Linked DNA regions of Xenopus tropicalis. The protein of the gene in region 1 interacts with the protein of each later gene in a biochemical or structural test. Links are inferred from orthologs where the notes say so. Each region holds a gene or a part of one and is shown in the gene's direction. Other genes may lie near its edges. The genes, in order: tek, angpt1 and angpt2.

Region 1 (3,675 bases):
TACCATGCAGTCATTTTTAGTTATTTATTTTTGATTTTCAGGACATGATCAAATAATTGAGAGCCACTTAGTTCCTACCTATGCTCACTACATTTAATTTTCTGTTTTGTTTAGGCTACCTGTATTTGGCTATTGAATATGCCCCCCATGGCAATTTACTCGACTTTCTAAGAAAAAGCCGGGTACTGGAAACTGACCCAGCATTTGCTATAGCCAACAGCACGGCCTCTACCTTGTCTTCCCAGCAGCTGCTACACTTTGCTGCAGATGTGGCCCGAGGTATGGACTACCTGAGCCAAAAGCAGGTAGGTATTTATATTACACTGAAAAAGTAGCTACAGAATTTCTATCATTATTCTTTTCCTGGTTTTATCTTGAATTTAAGGATATCATTAACTTTTTTCCTTAATTTAACTTTTTTTTTTTTTATAGTTTATTCATAGGGATTTAGCAGCAAGAAACATTTTAGTTGGTGAAAACTATGTTGCAAAAATTGCAGATTTTGGTTTATCCAGAGGACAAGAAGTTTATGTAAAGAAAACTATGGTAAGAAAACTAAACTGTGTATGGAAATCCTTAAAATGAAAATAAATACTGCTTATTTCTTATACAGGTATAAGTATGTTCTATCCAGAATGCTTGGGACCTAGAATTTTTCAGAAAAGGGGGTGTTTCAGTAATGTGTTTATTCTGCTATGAATGTGGATTCATGCAGCTTAGTTACCATTAATGCCAATTGTTTTATTATTACGGAGAAAAAAGAAATAAATAAAAATGTAAAATTTTAAATCTCTTTCTCTATATAGATATAGCTATATGCCAAGGTAGTATCTTAAAAATGCCTCCTACTGCATTTACCCAAGATTGCCACATGTAATGTGACAGGGTTATAGTAAATGAGTGTTTAAATTGCAAGTTGTGTCAGTAATGCTTAAAAACAGTAAAACAGGAGGAAAAATGCCTTCACTCTCGAAGAGAAATATAGAGCAAGAATTCTGTACTATTTTCACGTAATTCGGATATCTATAGGGTACATTTTTCTGGTGGTAGATATAAAATGTAATAGTGAGCAAAGTTTGGTCTTACTGCTATGGGCACAAACATACCTTCCCACCTGCCTTAGAAAGCACTAATATAAGAAAACACCAAACTGTTACATATATGGTGGACCTGCTCTGATATCCAAACCTTCTGGTCTTCAGCCTTTTCTCTATTATTAAATTACTTCTAACAAAACTTTGTTTTATCCCCAGAAGCAATGTTACTAACATATATGACAGCATACCAAACAAAGCTCTGGAAACAGAGATTTTCCAAATCTTAAATAAAGTTAGGCTTCTAATTCCCAGAAATTGGAAAAACCAAGATGTACCAATTATTTTTCAGTTAATTAGAGAAGTTAATCTCAACCTAGAATATGAAATGGCAATACCAAGAAGCATCTCAGGAAAAAGATACTTACAGGAAGCTCAGCAAATATGGAAGAATATCTCTGGACCAGATAATCTTTAGATCTGTTGCTTTTTTTACTGTACTATACAAAAATGGGAGCTATCATTTGAAATTGTAATTATTTTGGTATTTTGTTTTCCTTTTCTTTTTGACAATGTTCGTAATGAGAACATTGTACTTGCTATGAGTAATATTAAAATAAAAATAAAAAAAATAGTAAAAAAACCTAAATATCTTTTTTTAACAGGGAAGACTTCCTGTTCGATGGATGGCGATTGAGTCTTTGAACTACAGTGTCTATACATCAAACAGTGATGTGTAAGTAACTTTAGAACTTTATATATCAAGCTCACATTAAATAATGCCTCCCAACAAACTCAGTTTAAAAACTAGGGCAATTTTATCATGAGGCAGCCAAATCGTTTTAATGCCAGAAAAAATGATAAATTGATAATGTTTTACTTTGACTAAATGTTATCCTTAATTAATCATTTTAGCGCTTATTCCTAGTCATATTTCATAACATGATTATGTTGATGGTTATGTAATCTGTTTAGTAAATCTGCATGAAATTAATCTTTTTTTTCTGAATATATCTTTATAGATGGTCTTTTGGAGTATTATTGTGGGAAATTGTAAGCCTGGGTAAGTGCTTATATATTTAGGTCACTGACTCACATAAATAAAAATCACAGCTCTGTAAATAAGTGAGATGATTTATAAGGTGAAAATAATTCCCTAATATCAGTTTACAGACAGAAAAGTAGGTTCATATTTCATATTAATAAGTTGAGCGCCTGTCTATTACTTTACATAAAGTCAGCTCTTAAGTCTGTGGCACATGGGGCCAATCTAAGGTGGAAAATTGCAACAGGCAAAACACCTCCACCTTTCACCTATTTCCACAGAAATGCTTGCCTGAAGAACATATAGTGGTGACAGGTGGACCAAATTTGACTTCATTGGCTTAGAAATGAATAAATACACTATTGCTATTTACTGATTTAAACCTCAACTTCATTGCTGCTTTTTAGGTGCAGTACAAACATTTTATATAAAGCCCAAAATACTTTAATGGGGCCTATTTTGGGAACCCCTATACGGATCATTCAGAAGATTAAAACATGTTTCACTGTGTATGTATATGTAACAAGTATATTATTGCAATTGCCATTTTATGGCAAATACCACCGAAATATGTAAATTATGCCTTTTTTTTTTAAGGTGGAACACCATATTGTGGGCTGACATGTGCAGAACTTTATGAAAAGCTTCCACAAGGATACAGACTTGAGAAGCCTCTGAACTGTGATGATGAAGTGTAAGTAAGAGACTTTACTGACAAACTGTAATGAATAATAAGTGGTGCTATTATACAGTATACAGGCACATGCAAAAATGGCCAGGACTTACTAACCTGCATAAAGTATGCATATTAGGTTCTATATATATATATATATATATATATATATATATATATATATATATATATATATATATATATATATACCTCAGTGTTCAAAAAAAAAAAAAACAACTGGTTTAAATTGGCAAGTTCCTAGTACATTTTGGCTGCCATAATAGTGTCTAGTGAAGAGTTTGGTATTGCGCAGCTAAAATGATCCAAAATACTTGCAAAACTTTGCCAGGTGCTTCAGATCACTGTGTTGTTTAAGGGAATTGATCTATACCATCTATACATAATTTGTGCAAAAATCGTTACTTTTTTTGTCTTTTTTAAATAAAGGTATGACCTCATGCGGCAGTGCTGGCGTGAGAAGCCATATGAAAGACCATCATTTGCCAAAATTGTGGTGTCCCTTAACCGAATGCTGGAAGAAAGAAAGGTAAAGACTTGCACATTGTTTTTTTAATATTGCAGAGAACCTGGATCCAGTCATACCACTCTAACCGCTCCTGCTATGTCTCATTTTTGGATAAAACCTCTTCACCAGCTCTCTGTTGGGTCCCTTAAGGCTCTGTCCTTGGACCAAACTCTTGTCATTATACACTGCATCTCTGGGTCAAGTCATCAGCTCCTTTGGTTTTAATATCTATATGCTGATGACACCCAAATCATGCCCATCTCTTGATCTTTTCCCCTCTGTCATATCCCAAGCGTCTAATAGCTTCTCTGCTATATCCTCTTCTCTGCTATATTACCACACATGCACACATGCCCTAAACAAAGCTATCATTGAATCTGGTATGCAGGTTTGCTGT
Region 2 (3,739 bases), on another chromosome or scaffold:
AGGCACATATGGAATAGTGCAACAGGGTATATACTCACAGTCACAGCAGTATAGAACTTGGTCACAGAGAACACAGCAGAAGTGACACTCAAGGTAACAGTATAGCCCACTTGGAGGATATGCAGAGTATTAGCTGTATGCCAGGAATGGATGCCCTTTACTGGAACGGATCCCCTCCAGCCAACTATGGTTCAGGGTAAGGAACTGCCTGAATCCTGCGTCTTAACTGGGGTCCCTACAGCAAGGCATACAAAGCCTGGGTTAGACTAAACCCTTACAGTCTCCTTTGATGGGGCTAGTGCTGCCCTTACTAAATAAGCTGATTATGCTCACCACTCCTAGAGGGTGCTATTACATATAACTGACTGTGCTGGCTTTATCTCATTCACGGGGCCCTGTCCCCGACTTACAATTTGGCAGGTTCTACTTACTGGGGCCGAATGCCTCAGGCTCAGTGACGTGCAGCCTTAGGACAACAGCAGCCAAAGAGGAAGACACTTCCTTGTGCCAGAAACTATATAGTCTGCCAAGGGGAGTGGTCAACCTGGGCTAAACCTATAGGGGGTAGCCTAATACTGTAATCTGAGTGTAGAGGGCTCTGCCCTATTACAGCACAGATAAGGAAAAGTTAAGGGATAACACCATAGGGAGCTTAACCCTATGGGTCCCTACATATTCTTCCCTTATTCTCTACTGCACATACTATGACACTTGTGGACAACAGTTAGAAGGGAATACACACAGAATAGGGGAGTTCATGTAGGGCGACCTACTGTGGATGCAATCATAAAATATAACCTTTTGCAACACATAGTTCATTAACATTAGTGATGAGGGAATTTTTATGCCAGGTATGGATTTGCAGCAAATTTCCGCATTTTGGCATTGGCGAATTGTTTTGCAAAATTTCAGTGAAAATTCAGCACAAAAAATTTTGACGTGCCTCAAAAAAAGTCACAGTCGCATCAAACTAGGCACGGTCACGTAAAAATAGGCACAGTTGTGTCAAATTTGTTGCGGTCCCTTCGAAATGAGCGCAGACGCTTAAAAAAAAAGTCACGCAAGTCAAAAAGGTCAATTTTTCTGTCGTTTCACTAATATTTTGGTGAAGCTAAACAGGGCAGATTCACTCATCACTAATTAACACTATCTACAATATCAAATATAATATGATACATCTAATAACTACAGTACCCTGTGATGCTGTGTTAAGTGTGGCTTAGTCTGAAGGCCAGTGAGAATTGGAGAGAATGGCAATTTGTTATCCTACAAGCCAATTTTGAGCATCATTTAGAGTGAGTTTGTGATTACAGGTATCGGATCCCTTATCTGGAAACCCGTTATCCAGAAAGCTCCGAATTACGGAAAGCCTGTCTCCCATAGACTCCATTTTCCAAATAATTCAGAATTTTAAAAATGATTCCCTTTTTCTCTGTAGTAATAAAACAGTACCTTGTAATTGATCCCAACTAAGATATAATTAATCCTTATTGGGGGCAGAACAGCCCTATTGGGTTTATTTCATGGTTAAATGATTCCCTTTTCTCTGTAATAATAAAACAGTACCTGTACTTGATCCCAACTAAGATATAATTACCCCTTATTGGGGGCAGAACAGCCCTATTGGGTTTATTTCATGGTTAAATGATTCCCTTTTCTCTGTAATAATAAAACAGTACCTGTACTTGATACCAACTAAGATATAATTACCCCTTATTGGGGGCAGAACAATCCTATTGGGTTTATTTAATGGTTAAATGATTCCCTTTTCTCTGTAATAATAAAACAGTACCTGTACTTGATCCCAACTAAGATATAATTACCCCTTATTGGGGGCAGAACAGCCCTATTGGGTTTATTTAATGGTTAAATGATTCCCTTTTCTCTGTAATAATAAAACAGTACCTGTACTTGATCCCAACTAAGATATAATTACCCCTTATTGGGGGCAGAACAGCCCTATTGGGTTTATTTAATGGTTAAATGATTCCCTTTTCTCTGTAATACTAAAACAGTACTTGTACTTGATCCCAACTAAGATATAATTACCCCTTATTGGGGGCAGAACAGCCCTATTGGGTTTATTTAATGGTTAAATGATTCCCTTTTCTCTGTAATAATAAAACAGTACCTGTACTTGATCCCAACTAAGATATAAATAATCCTTGTTGGGGGCAAAACAATCCTATTGGGTTTATTTAATGTTTTATTGATTTTTTAGTAGACTTAAGGTATGGAGATCCAAATTACGGAAAGTCCCCTTATCCGGAATACCCTTGGTCCTGAGCATTTTGCATAACGGGTCCTATACCTGTACTATGTGTTGTCTGATCTAAATATTCTTAAAATGATGATGAAATGACTGATTTGTCACTATTTTTTATATCAGTACCCACTTCATGAACTAAGGGGGTCTCTTGAGCCAAGGCTGGATCATCAAGGGTGCTTGAACGGAAAATGTTTGACAAGCACTGCTATATATGTATTGCTGTTGGGTCCGACAGAAATGGGGGAGGGGTTCTTCATGGGAGCAACATATTTAATTGATAAATTCTAAGTAAAGCACAGGGGAATATGGTAGTGCCACGCCATTGGCATATAATATGTATGTGGGAGGTGCTACCCAGGCACAATAACCATTTATCCCCTTCCTAGAAGTCATGGACTGCTCATGTACAAATTATTTAGTACATTGAAAATAGTTTGTCAGGGAACAATGCAGCAAATTAGAATGGCAGTCAAACAGATGCTTATACAAAATCCCTGAATAATGTTCAAACTACTCAAATAAAATGTAAAATCTCTTGCTCTGTCTATTGCTCAATTGCCATTTTTTTATTCTTCCTTATTCACAGTTTGCTAGAAAACAAAATGGTGGAAATGGAAGAGAGACACAAGGATGAACTGAATACCATAAAAACAGAAAAGGAATCTTTGCAAAATCTAGTGTCCCGCCAGATTTACATCATCCAGGAGCTGGAGAAGCAGCTGAATAAGGCAACAAACAACAACAGCATCTTGCAGAAACAGCAGCTGGAGCTCATGGAGACGGTGCACAACCTCGTTAAACTCTGTTCCAAGGAAGGAGGTGAGTGGCATCTGTATTCCCAAGGATTGCCCTTGAGAGCACCATTGTTCTGCTCTGATATACAGGTCTCTTATATACTTTATAGCTCTGATGTCTATACATCAAGGGGGTGATTTATCAACTTTCAAGCTTGATTTTTGTTTCACAATTCAAAGTTTTTTGGGCTAAAAAAACTCAAATTGGAATTATGTTTCAAAAACTCGAATGTCTGGTATTTATTAAAGGAGACATATTGGATAAATGGGAAAAACGCTAATTTTGTAGGCAATTATGAATAATATACGGTGCTGGTTTCACTTTGGGCTAAACATTAATCCTATCTGTAACAATGGCCCCTTTATTGGAGCTCCCTATAGATCCTATCACTTCTCTGTCCAGTGTGAAATGAAGAGTGGGCGTGTCCTAATGGTCCCTGCCAGAAGCACAGTAGGAGGGGGAGAGCCAATCACAGCCCTGCACTCACACAAGCACAGACAGGCTTCAGTTCCCTATCAGGTCAGCCTAGCTGCTGATTGGTTCCTATGCTACAGTGCAGTGTACTGAGGGCTGCTGGCTCCCCAGCTCATCCAGAGAATTCAACCAGCAGGAAGTGGAACAGATGGTCGGGGCTAGTGGGGTTTTTGTGGAATTTCTCAATAAATCAGCAGGAAA
Region 3 (3,500 bases), on another chromosome or scaffold:
TGGTACCCATGGAAACATTCACAAAAAGATGCGTCTTGATAGAATTTCCTCCCAATGATACACACTGGTTGCATCAGTGACCCAGATGTATCACTAGCAAAACCTTCCTCCTAATGCTTGTTTTTCAGAGCATGCATGTGCTAGCATAAACGCTATTGTTGTACATGTTTAAATTTAAGTGGACCAACAGAGGTTTTTTGAATAATTAAAAAAAACTATTTGTTTAGTATAATGGCACATAGTGGGATTTCTCCTCTGGTCAGTAATTCAAACCACTTAAAACTAGTTATTTTCAGCAAAAAATCTGCTGAAGCTTGTTTTCATGTGGAGCAAATTCAGAACTATTGTTTTCAGCCAGTTTTGTTGGTAACTTCTAAGTCAGCTGAGATACGCTGTAAATGTAAACATGGTTTTGAGACTAATGGAAAAAATAAGGGCAGTTATATAGCATGTCTTAATTAAATTTCAGAGACACAGAAAATAGAGTTGCAAAGACTAGTTAGGGATCCATATGTTGAACACGAGCCACAACGCTATCAGTCTTCTCTAAAGGACACATTTGTTCTAAATGCTACTGCATAGCTGTAGGCTACATATTTCCTTTTCATGCAACATTACTGGTCTGCAAACAACCATAGAAAATGTTTTTCACCGCTAGGTGATTATTTCAGCAATAGTACTCATTTCCCCAGTGATCAATAGAGGAAATACCATCTGTTTTCATAAAACAGCAATTGTGCCAAAGTTCATAGGTTCTTCCTCAAAACGGAGATAAAAAGCATTTCCACAGACACAATGACATAATATTTCCTTGCTGTCTAATACGTTTGTTCCTGTGCAGGGAATATTTATAAAGTCTGAAAGAGAGAATTATACTCTGAAACAGCGATAAGAAAAAATAATCTACACACTAACAGTTTTGAATTTAAGTGGAACATTTACTAAAATAATACTACATATTATACACAAGCCAATTAAACCTACCAGTCAAAGGATTAGTTCTAGAATATAAAGTGATTATTAAGGCCTTCTGGAGCTGTCAAATCACAAGCCTTTTGTCTCCCTCTTCATTATTGAAGAATGAGATATCAACGTAAGTAAGCAGCTTGAGGTAGTCTCATTAAGAAGCAGCAATACACAACCTTAAACAGTGTGCAGACCACAAGAATTCTCACAATGCATCTCAGAACCACCGTAAAGTTAAACAAGCCGTTTTGTTGCTTTTAAAAGAGTGTTAGTTTATAAAGACTAGTTTATGGACACAGGCGTACTAAAATAAACACTTTAAAACCATGTTATTATTGGTCATGTGTAACAGTTGCATTGTATAGTAATCAAAATTAAGTCTTTTATTTTCAAGAAGTTATTAAATAAATAATGGAAACCAGCCAAATTTCTGCTTTTCAAATAAATGAAATAACGATAATAAAACCAAAGTAGAGAAAACCAAAGATATTATCAATGCTTTGTCTTGTAAATGTGTGAATTTTATGACTTTTTCTTATTTACTCATAAGTACAGGTATAGGACCCATTATCCAGAATGCTCGGGACCAAGGGTATTCCGGATAAGGGGTCTTTCCGTAATTTGGATCTCAATACCTTAAGTCTACAAAAAAATCAATAAAACATTAATTAAACCCAATAGGACTGTTTTGCATCCAATAAGGATTAATTATATCTTAGTTGGAATCAATTACAAGGTTCTGTTTTATTTCTACATAGAAAAAGGAAATCAGTTTTAAAATTCTGAATTATTTGATTAAAATGGAGTCTATGGGAGACGGGCATTCCGTAATTCGGAGCTTTCTGGATAACGGGTTTCCGGATAAGGGGTCCGATACCTGTACTTACTTAATAACATATTGTCAGAATGAATATATGTTATAGTCTGAATTCAGCTAAAATCTTTCACCCAGATTTGTGGTTCCTTACTAAAAAGTATGTTAACTTCTGCTTCCCTGATCTATAGTATCCACTACAATAGTTTGTAGTTCCATGTGTTTTTAAAGTAAAAAATGGCTTTAAAAAAGAAAAACTGCATTGGCATTCAGTTCCAAAACAGAAGATGCACACAGCCCACAAATAGAATCTTATACACTGTTTTGACAAGGGTTGTATTGATTTATATTTACCTATACTAGCTTGTTTAATCATATAATCATAATTTGTATGTAATATAAATACCTCTTTTCAGCTTTTTAGAAAAGAAAGTCCTAGGCATGGAGGACAAGCACACGGCACAACTTCAGACAATAAAGGAAGAAAAGGATAAACTTCAAGATTTGGTGCTGAAGCAAAATACTATTATTGAGGATCTAGAAAAGCAACTTGTAACAGCATCAGCAAATAACTCCTTTCTGCAAAAACAGCAGCATGACTTGATGGAAACGGTACACAATCTCCTGACTAGGATGGCACCTCAGAATGGTAAGTATGGATAGAACACTAAAAAGTGCATAATTAGTAAAGGAGGGGGCTAGAACTGTAAAAACATAAATGGCATAATTCACTACAGGCAAATAAAAGCCTGGAACAAATAAAAAAGTTGCACACAAACCTTCCCAAGTAAATGAGCCTAGTTTAACAAATTATTTTCAGTCTGCTTTAATTTTCCTGTTTGCCATCCATTCCTTAGTGCAGACCACCTGGCTGTGCCAGGAACTTCACTCATGCAAAAAACTGCATCTGTCAACAGATATATTCTTTGCACATGAGAAAATATAAAAAATGAATACTTGACAAAGAAAGAGTGATGGACTGTAAGACCTTCCAGAAGGTATAATATTTTATTGTAGTAGGCACCACCATAAGAACTTCAGTGCACTTAGAATAACATACAGATACAAACGGTTAGTAAAAGTTTAATGTACCTTTCTGCATTCAGAGTGCACAAAGTCAAATCAATAAAATAATCTTACTCTATGTGCATTATTTAAATGTCTCATTCTTGATCTCAGGAATGTTAAGCAAGTAATATAACCTCTTACATTAGGAATGCCCTCCCTGATTTCCTCCGGAGAGAATCCTCTCTCAGTCTTATTAAAACGAAACTTAAAGACTACCTTTTGGAGCACTCACCCAGCACCTGATCTGAGAACTAGCACTTATATTGTAGGGGCTACCAAATAGCCAATCACAGCCCTTATTTGACACCCTCAGGAACTTTTTCATGTTTGTGTTGCGGCTCACAGGTAAAGTTGCTTGGGCCCTTACAGGGTAGTCAAATTGGAAAATTCCTCGCCTTCACTAAATATCTGTGCGGTGTAACTGTAAAATGCAACTGTTTAGTATGGAGCAAGGTACACCACTGAATGTCACTGATAACACTCCATAATACTACAAGAGAGTTACAGACACTCATTGGCCACCAAGCAGTGAGTTACCCTGAGGGTTTTCTTTCCAGCATTTCCACACCTGCCCCTTGGCTATGAACATGACCCCTGCCTAAAGGTAACCAAAACAAAAGCACCCCACCACAGCAAAGTTGAGACTGTAGCA

Evidence for each region.
Region 2: the proteins of tek (region 1) and angpt1 form a complex in vitro, tested with the Homo sapiens proteins (6 studies listed by BioGRID and IntAct, with this or other methods). The link is inferred for Xenopus tropicalis from reciprocal best matches to the Homo sapiens genes TEK and ANGPT1.
Region 3: the proteins of tek (region 1) and angpt2 form a complex in vitro, tested with the Homo sapiens proteins (7 studies listed by BioGRID and IntAct, with this or other methods). The link is inferred for Xenopus tropicalis from reciprocal best matches to the Homo sapiens genes TEK and ANGPT2.

The regions. Positions count from the first base shown.
Region 1 is NC_030677.2:122,336,182-122,339,856, forward strand, and holds part of tek (angiopoietin-1 receptor), read left to right. Parts: intron 1-114; coding exon 115-305; intron 306-432; coding exon 433-546; intron 547-1,699; coding exon 1,700-1,770; intron 1,771-2,056; coding exon 2,057-2,097; intron 2,098-2,676; coding exon 2,677-2,773; intron 2,774-3,199; coding exon 3,200-3,299; intron 3,300-3,675. UniProt on the Homo sapiens protein: Tyrosine-protein kinase that acts as a cell-surface receptor for ANGPT1, ANGPT2 and ANGPT4 and regulates angiogenesis, endothelial cell survival, proliferation, migration, adhesion and cell spreading, reorganization of the actin cytoskeleton, but also maintenance of vascular quiescence.
Region 2 is NC_030682.2:133,256,570-133,260,308, reverse strand, and holds part of angpt1 (angiopoietin-1), read left to right. Parts: intron 1-2,851; exon of another isoform or gene 2,852-2,855; coding exon 2,856-3,088; intron 3,089-3,739. UniProt on the Homo sapiens protein: Binds and activates TEK/TIE2 receptor by inducing its dimerization and tyrosine phosphorylation.
Region 3 is NC_030681.2:97,085,269-97,088,768, forward strand, and holds part of angpt2 (angiopoietin-2), read left to right. Parts: intron 1-2,196; coding exon 2,197-2,429; intron 2,430-3,500. UniProt on the Homo sapiens protein: Binds to TEK/TIE2, competing for the ANGPT1 binding site, and modulating ANGPT1 signaling. Can induce tyrosine phosphorylation of TEK/TIE2 in the absence of ANGPT1.